2 linked regions of the Nothobranchius furzeri genome follow. The protein of the gene in region 1 interacts with the protein of each later gene in a pairwise test. Links are inferred from orthologs where the notes say so. Each region holds a gene or a part of one and is shown on either strand. Other genes may lie near its edges. The genes, in order: eif4enif1 and efhc1.

Region 1 (8,528 bases):
CCTCCTCTGCATACGAGTCATTTCTTCTCCTTTCACTAAACACACGCTTGTCACTAAAATCTCTCTGCAAGGGACAAACACAGCACCACTTCAACAAAAATGCAAAGCAAATTCTTAAAAACATTAACACATAAAAACAATATTACAGAAGCTGTAATGAATTTAAATCTTTTCATCCCACTACAGAGAATGCTGTTCTGATGAACTAGTAAATAAAACCCACCCGGAATCTTTTATCCTTAAAGTCTCTCTCCCGTTCTCGCTCCTTTTCTGCACGGGCTTCTCTCTCAAAGGCACGGGAAGCAATAATTCGTCCACTGCCAATTCTGCGAGTTCCTCCGAGACGAAGAGACTCATTTTCCTTGTTTTCCAGTGGGCTGGGGGGTCGACGGGAGTGGGTAGCAGGTGGTGCAGGTGCTGCATTGCCTTGACATCCACCTCCAAAACTACGTCTCTGTGGGCTGAGTACGACATCTAAGTCGTCCTCCTTTAACCGCTCACGAGGATCTAAAAAAAGTTTTTAAATTTTAAAACAAGAAACTCAAGTTCACAGTTTAAGTACAAATACTACCATTTACTTTTTATTTTTCCAGAGAAACCATGTTTCAGTCTACAGCGCAACAACTTCCAACTGTCGGGACTTGTCTTTCACACTAAAGGAAACTTTTTAAACCCAAATTCTCAGTCATCTGAAATGAAGAGGAAAACATTTACCTGGGACTCTTCTCTTTAAAGGAACCCGTTCATCGCCGTAGTCCTTCTTAAATCCTTCTACTGGAGAGCTTCGCTCTGAGATGGGGTACAAGGATGCATGCCATTTCTCTGGGTCCCAGACACCATCACTAAATAAAACAAACATTAAAAATGAGAAATATTGTGGGAATGTATTAGTTTGAAAACTAAAGGCATACCAAGAATAGAAAATTCAAGACCCTTCATGCATGCAACACTTTTAAGTGTTGATAATTAGAAATACTACAAAGACTTTATCTGATTATATGCTGTGAATCATTTGGTTCTGTCCATTTTTTTTGGCTCAATTGCCACTAATCTGTTTTAGGACACAAGGCTAATGTTAAAGTGAAGAAAAAAAAAAGCACCACAATGTTACTATACGTTTGCATTAGTCATCAAAACATACAGACCACAGAACAAAGCCGCCACACACGGCAAGATTGAACATTTTTTATTCAAAATGAAGTAAGGGAGCACCAGTCGCCTGTTGATTTCTTAATTTTAATGCAAAACAGCTGCTGGGCTGCAAATAATTACACATCTAAATTCTTTTTGGTAAAATCAATAATGTTTTTGAAAAATTTCAAATTTAGTGTGGCTGCGATGAAATAAGACTGGGAACTAGAGCAATACGCTAGAAAGAAACATGCAATTGCAGTTTTATTCATGAATATTGTGATATTAGAAATCCCTATTTTCCTCTATACGTTCCATAAAAGTTCAAATTTTAACTGTTTCAACTTTCATCGTCTAAACCAGGTGTGTGCATGGCCATCAGATCAACATGCAAACTACAATTTATCATGTCTTAGGCCGTATTGCAAACAATGGTGTGTTTAGGATGTTCATATATTTTTTTCTTAAGTCCAGTGACCCTGCTACACAGAATACATAAAGCTAGATCTCAATTGCAGTAAAACACGGGAAATTCAGCAGCAGTATCGCATCCATGTACCTCAGGTACCTTGAATGCCACATTAAAATGCAATCTCTTAATTTCAAGTACCAATACAAACCACGAACTGAATATTTTACTTGTCTTTCTTGGAATTGATCATCAGAACCCCAAAACATTACCAAAAAATTTAAAAAAAAAAAAGGCCCCACTTCTCACAAAATGTAAAAAAAAAAAAAAAAAACTACCATGACAGGATACTTGCAATCACCTAAAGACCAGGTCAGCGAGTCCCTCTTGTAATAAGAAAAAATACAAAAGCCTGATAATTTGTTATGTCCTACTTGTGCAGTATTGCTATTTAGCTTGAATACACACATGCTTGAACACACACATGCACACACCAGCAGTTGGACAACATTTTTGTAGTTTATCTCAGATAGGGTTTGCATGACTTAATTTTTTTTTAAAGTCGACAGTCAAGTAATGAAAATCGAGTCGACTTCGACTAGTTGTTGATGTCATACACCCGAAGCGTGGGGGGGGGGGGGGGTCGGTAGATTCGCTGGAGTTTTTGACAATTAAAATTGCGCCCACATTTTCTAAGTTAACACATCTCTTTTAACAATGGTAGTTTCTGCATCCTACTTCAGTCCTCTCCCCCCTCCCCCTGCGCAGCAGCCGCAAACTCACTGATGCGCCTGCAGCCTTTCCTGCTGCTCTTAACATTAAAATAATTATTTCATTTTCTGTTCCTCACTTCTGATTACCTTCAATGGTGTCTGTTTGTTGCAACCACCAGGTACAAAAACAAACTTGTTTTTATTTGACTATTTTTCTGTCCTGTCTGTTTATTATCTTCCTGCATCTCCTCTCAATCCTAAAGAAAAACTGCTACCTGGGTTCATATATATTCACCTTATGAGTTACCTTTGAACTGCAGTTCTAAAAGATCTACCGACCACAAAAACAGCGGAGTGCCACTGCTCGCCGGCTGACTACAACAGGACCGTTTTTGCTGCGGGGTTCGTGCCGGAGCGGAGATACTGGAATCTTGGGGGTGCGTCACCGGAGAACAAAACAGGTGAAGAGCCTCGCTCCGCAGCAGCGAAACGCATCAGGCACAAATAACAGACAGAAAACATGAAAGGAAATGAGCCGACATGAACGATCGCGTGTTTAATTTGTTTTTGAGGTGGTGACACCTGATTTGGCGGTGCTCAGGATGCAGATGTCTGGAGCGCGTCAACGATCAGAGCTTTGCATGCGCAAACTGGTTAAGATTAGGATGGGGGTGAGGGGAAGGTAAAATTGCACAAGGGAAAAGGTCACAGTTTGGTTAAATGTCTGTTTTACCGCCAGTGTCAGTACCGACACTCTGGCACAGCGCGTTGCCTCCGCCTCCCGACGCAGGGGCTCATCACCTGCTGGAGGACTGCATCTTGTCAGTCATTATCACGTGACAGCGACTAGTCGATGACAGGCATAAAAAGTCACTACAGAGCAGTGAAGTCGACTAGTTCATACAACCCCTAATCTCAGATGCAACTTTCAGTAGAATGTTTAAGAACTGTAACAGTTACAACACATTTGATCCATAAAGAACCGTTTAATGAAATGGTTTTTGAATATTCTTTAAAAAAACAAACAAAATGGACTTTTTTACTCCTCATTTAACAAAAAGGCAACTGAAGTGTAAAACTCAAAACCTGCTTAATTTAAACGAGCACAAACCAACAGGGTTCACAATCTTTTCTTAAACAGATCTATTCTACCTAGTATCTGAAGGTAATGAAAAACTTTCTAAATCAGCTTATCTGACAAGGCTGCTTCCACTGCAGAATGTTTCTGTACTTTCTGTTCACTTATTGAGATAATCTGCAGACAATTCTATGATATAACTGGATTTCATTCCCTTTTAAACCTTGTTAAGAATTTGATACAAAACTTAAAAATAAAAAAAATACCTGTCATATTTCTCAGAGAGGCATTCAGGTCTTTCATTGGACACTGGTAGTTCCTTTATTTCCAGAAGCTCTTCCTGTGAACAGAAATAGTTACATTAATTTAAGGGATTGTGGCCAAACAAAGAAACAATTATTTTTTTTAACTAATCACCTTTGTGTATCTGAATGCTGGTTTCCTTTGCTGATTCACAGCAGCATCACCATTCTGTTCTTCATTTGCATCCTTCTCCATGACTGAATACAGACAATCAAACTATGTTGTCCAATAATAATCTTGTCCTGTTGGAACAAAGTTAGCTACTTTTAATTTCAGAAATCCTTATAAAGCAACGCAGTTGTGTGGCTACTCTCTAGTGTCAGTAATTTAACGATTTCGTCTTAAAATTTAGGAACAAGGCGTATTTCTCATAAACATGCCCAAAACGCTATTTAAAAAGTGCAAGCATAAAACTGACTTAAGAGTCCAACACACAACTTTCAAATTATCGGAATTAAAGTTAGCAAAACTTTTAAATGTCAGGTTCAAGCCCATGCCGTTTGCCAATCAGACTTAATTAATCACAATCAGAAATAGCTGGGACTAGACACGGCGTGTCAATTAAAGTAAATTACAAAGCGCTGGCGATGTTTGACCAGGTTTGTGTAGCACGTAGATGCTAAAAGGCAGCTTATAAATCCTCAGCTTGAGTAAAACGTTTCTTTGAACAACACATTCTCGAGAAAATATCTTAATCGAAAGAAATTTAAGCTAACATAATTAGCACAAAACTAAAAAACAGCAACAAACGAACTCTGTTACCACAAACTTAAGTTGCACGTAAAAACAGTACCAGCCATTAAAAAAAGCTTAAAGGACACACTAACAACTTACTGTGAAAATGAGTTAAACGCTGTCTGCTTCCTTCCCAGCTGCAGTTAACGTTAGTTAGCCAGCTAGCCTGTTAGCACCTTTCGCTAGCTACCTAACCAGCTGGGGAATGGGGATAAAACCCACCCAGCGGTTACCAAATCCTAAACCGGTTGAGTTTTGTACTGGTTTTAGTAAACACACTATTGTAAGGTAAACTGAAAAAATAGATCAGGTTCAAATAACATATTAAGTTACGTGGAGCCTGTATATTCTTAAAATAATGTATGGTCTTTCTCTGTTTTCTAAATCGTAGCAGCAATTTTTTTCTTACAATCACCGCTTTAAGAAGGTCCTGGGAGAGATTACATTGTGCCCATCGCGCCTTTGTAGAATTAAAAAAATATATTAATGATAAAATAAATGCATTGTGTGTTGACAGTATTGCATTTTGGTACATAAACAAATATTTGTAATGTATGCGGGTTCAAGAAATGTTTTTTTAATTATCACGTGAAACGTGTTTATTTATTTGGGGAAAAAACATTTTTAACCAATTTACAACACAAACAGGCAATATTTAGGCCACCTATTTAAAACTTTAGGGTTTGCTTGATTTATGATTCTGCGGAGTGGTTTCTCGAGACATTCAGGGAAATCTATGGAGCCCGCCTTTTCGGGCGGTCAAGGTAAATGTATATGCCATGCCTTTGTAAACCCCGTGTTTTTCTTTCTTGCTTCTGTCATGAGATAAATAAGCACATTTAAGTTGCTGTTTGGTGAAGAGTTTTATGAGAAATATGTATAGATCAGCTTGAAGATTTCTTTAGAAATTTAGCCTGTATAACCGCTTTGTAGATATATGGAGCGTCGAGATCAAAATATCGCTCTAGCTACTTTTTCCGAGTGGGTGCGCACCATTTATGTCTTCTCAGCAGGGCTTATAAAAGACAATAATCATCTGGTTTACTGAGGGTGGCTGGTCTGTGTTACCCTAAGTGGAAAAAAGTCTTACTTTCGAATAGAGACACTTAAAATCTGTACCGAATCCAATAATATCCGATCTTATATTTCATTACACTGTACCAAAGAAACAGGAGCACCCGCCCCTCATTTCTAGGCCAGCTCGTGCGCTTTAACTATGGAAAAGAAACAGACCCCTATTAGAGGTCACGTGACAAGAAAAACCTAAACAAACGCGCGGAAGTTGGTTCAAAAAATTTACAAAATTATTCTTGAAGTGTTTGTAATGTCAGACGTGGAATTGTGCAGAGAAGAAGCAGAGAGAAACCAGTAGGCACGTCAACATTTTCAGCGTCGTTTATTGGTGAGAAAATAGAAGGATGAGGTAAAAGGAAAAGGTCGTGATTATTGTTCATTTTGGTTTTGTTGCAGTGTGCAGCATTGGGGGGATTTTCTCTCAACGTCACGCGGAACAAAACCCACCGAGTGAACAACAACGTGGCTGTCCAACACTGTCAACAAACAGTAACTGATCCACACACCAACATCAGTTACAGCTGTTCAGTTCAAATCTGGAAACATCTGATGGGCTCGTGTTTTTGTTTTATTACAGATGATGGGAAAACATTGGGAACAGTGGAAGGAGCGCCTGGAGGAGGCTGAAGATGAGAATTATCAACCCCTAACTGAGAAGGCTCAGATCAACTACCGGTGAAGTTCTTTTGTTTCTTAAATGAAAAATAATGATTTAAAAAATGTTTTGGGTGTAAAAGTATTTTCTCTTTGCAGGATTTCTCTGCTGAGGAGCTTTTTTCACATCTGGAGAAAGAAACTTGCTGAACAGAGACATATGCAGGTATTTCTAGACGTTTACCTGCCAGATACTAATATCACATATGTCCGGTTTTATCACCATAAAATTACTGAAGTAATACGATAAGTCACTAGAACTAGACATAATTTCACTTAGAGATGCTTAATTTTATGGAGACAGTTAAAATAATGTCAATGAAATAACTTTTTATATAAAGCCTCACATGTTTTGTCACCAAAACAAATTTAACCTGTAAAACTAGCAGTTTTTATGTTAGTCTATTTTGTGGTTCATGAGATATTTGTGTTAATGCTAAGTGAAAACGTGATGACTCACTAAAATAAAAACTATCACAATGTAGGGGTAAATTAAAATATGCATGTGCATATTTTTGTTTCTTGACAGAGAATGGAGAGTCGTGCAGACGTGTGGTTTTCTGAGCGCATTTTATCTGAATATTTCAAGTCATGGGTGGAGCTGACTCATCAAGAACAGAGAAGACATGTAGCTGAGGCTTTTGACCGGTGAGGTGGTTCATGAACTCCAAAACAACAGTAAACCGTGATTATTTTTTTTCCAACTTGACTAGATTTTGTGTCCTCAGCCAGCGTGTGACCATCTGGGTGATGGACACCTGGTGGAGACAGTTAGAGACACACAAAGAGGAGATGCTCTCAGAGCGGATGGTACGCCACGAGCAGATAAAAGCTACATCTGATTCAGCAGCAAGCTGCTGATCAGGCTCGTCGCATTGTGTTTCCAGACAGTTCTCCACGCCGAGCAGCATCACCTGCAGAGCGCCTGGGCTCGATGGAGACGGCTCACGAGGCAGCACATGGAAGAGGCAGAGAAGGAGGAGGCTGGGCGTCACCTGGACGTTCACAGACTCCTCAGTGACGGGGTGGCGCAGTGGAAGAGTAACAGCTGTAAGATACGAGACAGGTGAGGCCAAATGAGCGTCGTCGAGCCTTTTGATCCATCTGAGACTATTTGTTAGGGTGGTTTCATTTCATTTATTCAGCCCCTTCCATGACTGAGGCGGACACCCAAGGTGCTGAACACATCAATACAACATAATATAAAAACCATCAGATAAAATGTGACATAATCACAAAAACTATCAAAGAAACATTAAAAAGAAAAAATAATAAAATGCAGCTAAAGGAATAAGAAGCCAGGCAACAATACTGAAGAGTTTGCTATTGCTGGAATGCCTTGTGTAAAAGTGGATCTGAAGGTGACTGACCGACCACCAAAGGCAACTGGTTTCAAAGTGTAGGAGCTAGCACCGAACAATCATGGTCCCTCCGTGACCTGCACTTGGAAAGAGGAACCACAGAACAGCTCTCTGTCAGCCAATCGAAGGGCCCACGATAGGGCATGTCCACGCAGGATCCTGGAGCCAATCCTTGTAGGGCCTTGTATGTCAGTAATAAGACTTTAAATGTGGCCTTGTATTTCACCGGAAGCCACTGAAGGGATGCCAACACAGGAGTGATATGCTCCCTACACCTAGTGCCCATCACAAACCTAGCGGACCAACTGCAAGCGAGCAACTGCGCTCTGTCTCAGGCCGTAAATGATCTGTATTTGTATATCGCCTTCTTAGGGTTCTACAAACTCTCAAGGTGCTTCACAACACAGTCAGTCATTCACCCAGTCACACACTGGTGGGGATGAGCTACGAGGTAGCCACAGCTGCCCTGGGGTGCACAGACAGAGGCGAGGCTGCCGAACGCTGGCACCACTAGCAGGCAAGGCGGGTTAAGTTTCTTGCCCAAAGACACAACAGCAGCAATCTCTGGTGGGAGTTGGGGTCGAACCCGCAACCTTCCAATTACTGGACAACCTGCTCTACTTCCTGAGCTACTGCTATTCCAATGCGTTGCAGTAGTCAAGCCTAAACAGAATAAAAGCATGGGCGATAGACTCTAGATTAACTCTGGACAACGGGCTTGATTCTGGCCAGTCGACGCAAATAAAAAACACACTATCGCACAACTTGGTTGATTTGTGCATCGAACTTAAGGGATGAATCTGTTTGTACTCCTAAACTTGTTGGTTTGTTTTATTTCAGGAGAGACCGAGAGCAGCAGGCCTGTCGTCATGGTGACTTGTGCTGCGTGAGATGGGCTGTAGAGAAATGGAAAAAGGTGCTGTTTAAAATTTGAATTAAGAAAAAAAAACTTAATGTTTGAAAGTGCGTGTTTGTGTGTGTGTGTGTGTGATCAGTTTGTACAAATCCAGAGAAAGAAGAGATGCAAGATGAAAGAAATCCAAAGTTACCATGAAGTCAGACTCCTCAAA
Region 2 (7,832 bases), on another chromosome or scaffold:
AGATAGATAGATAGATAGATAGATAGATAGATAGATAGATAGATATGTCGATGGTTCTACTGCTGGTGTGCTTGACTCAGTCTTGGATCCTCTGGAAGTTTATCCGCTTCCAGCTGAGGCGCTGGAGGGAGTTCAGACACGAACAGGCCGTCCGCAAGAAGGGCAATACAAAGCAACCCTTGCAGCCGCTAAAGAGAGACTCAAGTGAGTTTTGCCACTTATGTTGTATCTTAATGAACTGCTTGATCTTGACTTCTCCATCCCGTGTCTCCTTGCCAGCTGGTTACCATGAAAATAGAGTCATTTAAGCTGAGAATGGAGTTTCTCCTCGGACAAAGAAACTCAAATCCACATAAGAAGGTGAACTAAACGACCGTTAGCCCCCGACTGAAGCTTCTCAGTGAAGCCAGCGGCCCGCTGGCCACCAAGCTTTTGGCCGGGAACTTCCTGTGATGTCACAGGCACTCGGTCACAACAGATTTATTTTACAGTTTTCATTGGTTCACTCAATCCATCCACTCAATCCAATTGTGTTTCACACATTTGTCCTGTACCAGAATGTTTCATCTATCTTGTAATTTGTATTTTGTAATTTGTATTTTGTAATTTGAATTGCTTTTATTGTTGATTTATTCAATATATTTACCTACAACTGTACCATGTTCAGCACTTTGGGCTTCCTGACAGGGTTGCGGAAGGCGCTTTATAAATAAAGCTTTGATTGATTGATTGATTGATTGACTTAAGCTTGAGCGCTGGATAATGAAATCCAAGGAAATCCTTAGAGCCCAACAGACGTTTACTGCTTTGTCATTCCATGTTTTGTTTTTGTTCTCTTCTTAAATGTCTTCAATAAAATGACTTTCTGAAGCAAGTTGTAGGATTATCTGGAGTATCTAAGCATTTTGTTTTTGGGTCAGATGTGTTTTTAGGAAGAAAAGCAAAGTGATACTATTAGTATAGCGCCAATAATAAAGCACAACTGGGGCTACTGAACTACTGCAGGATGAGAATGCTGTCTTTAAAATCATTTCCATCGTTCCCGTTTGTAAATTTATTTGAAAATCCACTAGGTCAAACCTTTTAAACATTCAGTGTTTCTTCTGTGTTTTGAAGCAGAAACATTGAAATAAAATCCAGTGTTCATGTCGGAGATGATTTTGGTTCTTCGCCTGTTGAGGAGGAAACAAAAGTGCAGAATTACATTCATGCACAATTCTTTTTATTAAACCAGGCAGTTTGTGTGGGAGTGTTGGGAATAAAGACAGATTTGATTCTTACCGTTCTGCTCGTCTGGTTGGTTTTCTGCCATCTTCTCACCAAGTGTATGTCTCAAAGAATCCAGTGTGTGAGAGGGAATCTTGCTGGAGATTGACTCCAAGTACTTAAGCACTTGTGGGGCAGCGCCGGTCAGCACAAAGCGATGGCCTAAAACTGGAAACAAACCGTCAGCTGCATTAATGGTGAATGCAGCTCGGTATGGCATTCATTATAAAACATTGTCTATCTTGGTGAAACTTTAGAGTAAATATTAACGTTCAGAATTTGGGGATTACATTGAAATGCTACCTCTCCCTGGGCTGCCACCTTACCGTGGTGGAGGGGTTTGAGTGTCTCAATGATCCTAGGAGCTAAGTTGTCTGAGGCTTTCTGCCTCTGGTAGGGTCAGCCATGGCAAACAGGTCCTAGGTGAGGGATCAGACAAAGAGCAGCCCGAAAACCTCTGAAAATCCACTAGGTCAAATCTGAAGTGGAGGGTCCGTCGGATTGTTGAACCTCAGATTCAGGAGGAGCAATGTGGTTTTTGTCCTGGCCATGGAACACTGGACCAGCTCTATACCCTTAGGGGGATCCTGGAGGGTGTGTGGGAATTTGCCCAACCAGTCTCCATGTGTTTTGTGGATTTGGGGAAGGCGTTTGACCGTGTCCCTCGGGGGCCCTGTGGGGAGTACTCCGGGAGTATGGGGTACCAGGCCCTCTGATACGGGCTGTTAGGTCCCTGTATGACCGGTGTCAGAGCTTGGTCCGCATTGCCGGCAGTAAGTCGGGCTCCATCCCAGTGTGAGCTGGACTCCGCCAAGGTTGCCCTTTGTCACCGATTCTGTTCATCACCTTTATGGACTGGATTTCTAGGCGCAGCCAAGGTGTGAAGGGCATCCGTTTTGGTGGCCTGAGGATCAGGTCTCTGATTTTTGCAGATGATGTGGTCCTGTTGGCTTCATCAGACCGTGATCTTCAGCTTTCGCTGGAGCGGTTCGCAGCCGAGTGTGAAGCAGCTGGGATGAGAATCAGCTCCTCTAAATCTGAGACCATGGTCTTGATTCGGAAAAGGGTAGAATGCCTTCTCCGGGTCAGGGATGAGGTCCTGCCCCAAGTGGAGGAGTTTAAGTATCTCAGGGTCTTGTTCACCAGTGAGGGAAAAGTGGAGCGTGAGATTGATAGGTGGATTGGTGCTGCATCTGCAGTGATGCGGGTGTTGTATCGGTCTGTCGTGGTGAAGAGAGAGCTGAGTCAGAGGGCGAAGCTTTTGATTTACCGGTTGATCTACGTTCCTACCCTCACCTATGGTCATGAGCTTTGGGTAGTGATCGAAAGAACGAGATCACGGATACAAGCGGCCGAAATGAGTTTTCTCCGAAGAGTGGCTGGGCTCTCCCTTAGAGATAGGGTGAGAAGCTCAGTCATTCGGGAGGGGCTCGGAGTAGACCCACTGCTCCTCCACATCGAGAGGAGCCAGTTGAGGTGGCTCATGCATCTGGTCAGGATGCCTCCTGGACGCCTCCCTGGTGAGGTTTTCTGGGCACATCCAACCGGGATGAGACCTAAAGGTAGACCCAGGACACGGTGGAGGGACTATGTCTCTCACCTGGCCTGGGAGCGCCTTGGGATTACCCCGGAGGAGCTGGCCCAAGTGGCTGGGGAGAGGGAAGTCTGGGCCTCTCACCTTAGGCTACTGCCCGTGAGACCCGACTTCGGATAAGTGGATGAAAATGGATGGATGGATTGAAATGCTACCTTCTACAGTGGCTCCAATGGCAAAGTCCACAGGTGAGTAGAACTCTGGTTTTTCCACGGAAGAGCCTGGCTTGGGAACGCAAGTCTTTCTCAGGAATTTCCCACCGATGAAACCAGAGTTGCAGACAGGTTTCTCAAAAATGCTGATCGTGTCGTCCAACAGGAAGTACGACATAACAAACTGTCGGCCTTCATCCTCAGGATTCACCGAGTCCTGGAACCAAAATCAAACATACTTTAGTTTAAAGGTGTCGAACACTGAAAAACCATTTTTTAACGATTATTTCTGATTATAATTGGTTGCTAAGTTTTCCTTGCAGGCTGAATGTGAAAATAGTCTCCTACACTTATCTCCTGAATTAGTCTCTGGTAGAAAATAGATGGTGAAAATCCAGAATTTGAAGGTAAATGTCAGCATCAGCAACTCCACCACATGGAAAAACCCCTCCAGGTTTGTGTTATTTTTGGAGATAAAACATCAATGTTCCAGTGCTGTTATCCAATCTGGGGCGTTATGTTCAAATATCAGGAAATAAGACTCCAAATCCCACCATCTGAAACTCTACTCTGATGCAGCTTACTTCTACTTCCTGAAAATTGTGCACTGGAGCTTTGTTTCCCCAGAGTATGACTTACAAGACCACAGCAAATGTACCAAAAAAAATGAGCGAATCACACCTTTTAAAAACCGAGTACATAAAAATCCAAATTCTTAAATTTTACAGTTTAATGTTTACTAAGGTAGAATTTGACTGAATGTTGAAAATCCTGACCATAGGCGTCATTTTAACCGGGGACGCCGGGGACATGTCCCCGGCAAAATTTGTGATTGGCAGCTGTGTCCCCCCCACTTTCAAAAACGCCTGCTGATGAGGATTTTTGTTTTACCAGTTCAGATCTTATACCAGGGGTCGGCAACCTGTTCCCATCAAAGAACCATTATTACCCGTTTCCCACGGTAATTTTGGACGGACCTTAATAAGCAGAGACTTAAGTGAAGCAGGCAGGTCGCGCTAGAAAATTTCATTTAAAAGACGTCATAAATGTGTTCCCCCGTCATTTTTATTACTAAAATATGAAGTAAAAACTCACAATTTAATTTTCATTCATTTGTCATTAATATGTAGTCTACACCCGTGTGTTAAGTGGACCATCTTCCAGTAAACGCACAGCATCCAGTCCATCTCTCCAAATGCGTAAAATGTGCATCAGCCGCTAGTTAGGCGCGCGCGCACCATCAGCTGATCAGCCCAGACAAGAGCAGAGCAACTAGAGAAAGAATAGAGGATAATTGTGTCTGGATGTGGATGGAGATTACATTTTACAGCAGCCTGATCATCATTTAAATACGTAAACCATCACCTGTCTTCTAGTCCACGCTATCAGCATTATTTTAATTGGTGTGTGTGTGTGTGTGTGTGTGTGTGTGTGTGTGTGTGTGTTTTCCACTTCAAACACTGGTCTAACCAACCAGACCAGCGTGTCCAGTAACATTAATGTTACAATTAAACAGTTTCACTTCATGTATATAGGCTAGGAACATTTCACCTGCCGTGGCCCGACCGCTTCTGCTCCACATAAACTTTGTGCGTGATCAAATGTCATACGCTTCATGCGTCTCCATATTAGAGACGGGAACAAGCGCTGTTCAGCCAAAGTTTCATAATTTCATAAAAAGAACACTTTCCAAGTGACACATCCCTCAGAGAGACCGGGTTTCCAGACTATTTCAGTGGGAGGAAATCATCGCATGCGCGTGGTTCTGCGCTGCGCTGCACTGCGCTGGAACCCCAGATCTTCAGCTCACTGTCCACCGGGGCGCTCCGAGCCGCGCTGAACACAGTGTCCAGTATAAAGAGCTCTGATGTTCTGATGGGAATATTTTACCTCCGCGATGTGCGTTAACGATTAAAATGTCAGCTCATCCATGTGCATCAAAGGGCGTCGGGGTAATTCTTTCAAACAGAGCAACATCCTTGAGTTCATCTGTCAAAATAAACAGTCAAATGGAAATATATGTAACCTGCCGTTTAACTGTTTTGCCTTCCTGTGAAGATTGTTGCAAAGAGAAACAATTAAACTTGATTAACCCTAGAGCCACGCAGAGAACCATGCAGTGCACATGCGGGAAGATTCCTCCCACTGAAGCGAGTGTTTTCCAAACCCCGTCTCTCAGAGAGACTTGTCACTTAGAAAATGTTCCCTGATTATAAACTTTGGCTGAATAGTGCTTGTTCCTGTCTCCAATGTGGCGACACATCCAGGAGCCGTCTGAGGAGAAGCCCAGAATCTCACATCCTCTTCAGCTCATAAAGTGCCTATATGATTACGCACAAGCGTGACCGGTCAACCACCGCAGACCGGGTTGGACCTGTTCAGGTTTACGCAGACAATCTACATTTAGAATTGGCATACAGGTGTAAAATTAATGCAGTAAAATATAAAGCATTTTATTTAAATATCCATTTATTATTTTACAAGCACAGAGAGTTGCATCAGATGGATGGAAGAGCATGCGGCTCCAGAGCCGCGGATTGCCGACCCCTGTGCTAGCCTTCTTTATTGTCCCCAGCAATTTTTAAACCCCACTCAAGTGTATGGTTATTGTCCCCAGCAATTCTGAAAACAAACTGACGCCCTTGATCCTGACAGATCTACGTCACACTGTTGCTGAACATTCATGGACTCACCCATCTTGACAGAGAAGGCTGTTGTTGGTTTAGCGGTCAGGAAACAGCTAAGAACGTCCGGGCAAGTAGAAGCTAACCGTTAGCATTAGCAATTCCACCACACAGCAGAACTCATCCAGGCTTGTGTTATTTGTGGAGACAAAACATCAACGTTGCAAGTCAGTGTTAGAGTCACATTGCTGTTATCCAACCCAAGGTGGGAGGTCCAAATATCAGGAAATATGACTCCAAATTCTGCCGCGATAAGCTCTGCTCTGTTGTGGCACTCTGCTAGTTCCTGAAACAAGCGCATCTGAAACTAAACTTCCTGATTTACTCTGAGGACCATTCCTGCTCTGTAGAGCTAATACATTTCCTGTAGCAAAACCTAGAGTTTAGGAGGGGAACTGCAGTGTGTGTAGCTATACTACCCACTTCAGTGGCCTAGTGATAGAGTGTACGCCCTGCTACTGGGAGATTGGAGTTCAAAAACCGGTCGAGTCATACCAAAGACTAAATAAAATGGGACCCAATGCCTCCCTGCTTCACACTTAGCTTTAAGGGGTTGGATTGGGGGGTTAAATCACCAAATAGTTCCCGAGCGCAGCCACCGCTGCAGTTCACCGCTCCCCACAGAGATGGGTCAAATGCAGAGGACAATTTTCACCACACCAGTGTGTGACAACTATGGGACTTTAACTTTACTGATTAAATGAGTGTTCCACACCTTTATTTGTTTTATGATTGTTAGCAAAGGCTTTTCAAGTCGAAACAAAAAGAAATGTCAGAATTCTAATCATTAAGTATTCGAGATTTCAAAGGTTTCCTCACCAACCGGGCGCTGTAGCGCAACACAGTGTCACCCTTCAACATCTTCTGCAGGTTCCCTTTAGGACGCTTGGGAATTAAAGACAAACAGTTCTGAAGGGAGTCTTCAAGAGAACCGAATCCATTGTAGGGTGGTATGTGCTGTGCATGTTGACAACAGGATGCAGAAAAAGTAAGGTTTGAGAGAAATATTAATGTTACAACAGATATCTTTAGTCTGACAAAGTAATACGAAGAATGTGTTCCAGACCTTCTCTGGAATTGGAGATTCCTTCTTCACTGGTATCTCTGTGGGTTTCATCTCCATGTCTGGGAAGTTCTTCTGGTAATAGTCTTTAGTGAAGGCATCACAGTTGTAGAGCAAGAAGTGATGGTTCAGCAGGGTGACCTTTTGACCCAGCTGGAAGTCTTTGGGGGAGTAGTACTCCTCTACATCCTTCTTAGTGAGCTCCATTATACAGCTAGGGGCCGTTTCTTACAAAGCAAATTTTAAAAAGAGAGAAAAATGAGAAAATCTATCCAGGACAAAAAGCATTTATTTTCACTTATTAGAGGAGTTGAAAACATGTTGTGTATTTTGGTGTAATTTGGTGTATTTTGACACCACCACTTTGTGTCAATATTTTTTATGAAATACCTCGTCTCACAAACTACATTTGGTTAATTTTATCTCACCAGATTTCAGCTTCTTGGGGATCTTCTGCCTGCGCAAGAAGCGAGAGGAGGGATTCCAGCCGCTGTTGTGTTCATGGACCTCACTGATCTCCACTGTGTCGTCCACCAGGTAATAGTAGATGATCATTGGCCGGGGATCTTCATAAGGTGTGTCCGATTTGTCATACAGGGCATAAAAACGTAGCACCTGACCAAAGAATCAAACAGCCTGAATGCTGAACTGGTATTACAAAGAAATATATCATTAGTATTTGAAATAAATAATAAATAACGTTGTGCCAGATTTTTTTAAAACAATATGATATTTGAAAATTTGTTTTTTTTATTTAGAATTTTTAATAACTAACCACCTGTAATGAAATTGTAATAAGGAAATTAAAATCTTTTTGTAAGCAACACTAAATAGTTTTTTAAACTTTAAGCTAGTGATTGTTGAGTTATAAACTTGACCAGTTTCTTATCTGACAACACTCTGCAGCCCGCTGCTGGCCAGATACTGCACTTAGTTTTGTGGAGCGGGTAGGGGGAGCTTTTTACCTGCTTTGTGCCAGTTAGCTGTTATGCTAGCAGTTAGCCTTTCAGTTTGCCTATGGTAACCCAGCAGAGAAAACGTCCTTTTTCTCTTCTCTTACCTGTATCAAATTT

The links.
Region 2: the proteins of eif4enif1 (region 1) and efhc1 interact in binary tests that used the Homo sapiens proteins (3 or more experiments, as listed by UniProt). The two-hybrid records come from large-scale screens. The link is inferred for Nothobranchius furzeri from reciprocal best matches to the Homo sapiens genes EIF4ENIF1 and EFHC1.

What each region holds. Positions count from the first base shown.
Region 1 is NC_091743.1:66,909,760-66,918,287, forward strand, and holds the start of eif4enif1 (eukaryotic translation initiation factor 4E transporter), read right to left. Parts: upstream 4,661-8,528; 5' UTR 4,469-4,660; intron 3,877-4,468; 5' UTR 3,830-3,876; coding exon 3,749-3,829; intron 3,672-3,748; coding exon 3,598-3,671; intron 843-3,597; coding exon 715-842; intron 508-714; coding exon 224-507; intron 65-223; coding exon 1-64. Other genes in the region: protein SFI1 homolog, read left to right, coding at 6,021-6,118, 6,197-6,263, 6,627-6,745, 6,826-6,907, 6,985-7,163, 8,299-8,374, 8,454-8,528. UniProt on the Homo sapiens protein: EIF4E-binding protein that regulates translation and stability of mRNAs in processing bodies (P-bodies). Plays a key role in P-bodies to coordinate the storage of translationally inactive mRNAs in the cytoplasm and prevent their degradation.
Region 2 is NC_091742.1:6,286,287-6,294,118, forward strand, and holds the end of efhc1 (EF-hand domain-containing protein 1), read right to left. Parts: intron 7,375-7,832; coding exon 7,188-7,374; intron 6,987-7,187; coding exon 6,763-6,986; intron 6,654-6,762; coding exon 6,516-6,653; intron 3,230-6,515; coding exon 3,016-3,229; intron 1,435-3,015; coding exon 1,282-1,434; intron 1,173-1,281; coding exon 1,144-1,172; 3' UTR 1,043-1,143; downstream 1-1,042. UniProt on the Homo sapiens protein: Microtubule inner protein (MIP) part of the dynein-decorated doublet microtubules (DMTs) in cilia axoneme, which is required for motile cilia beating.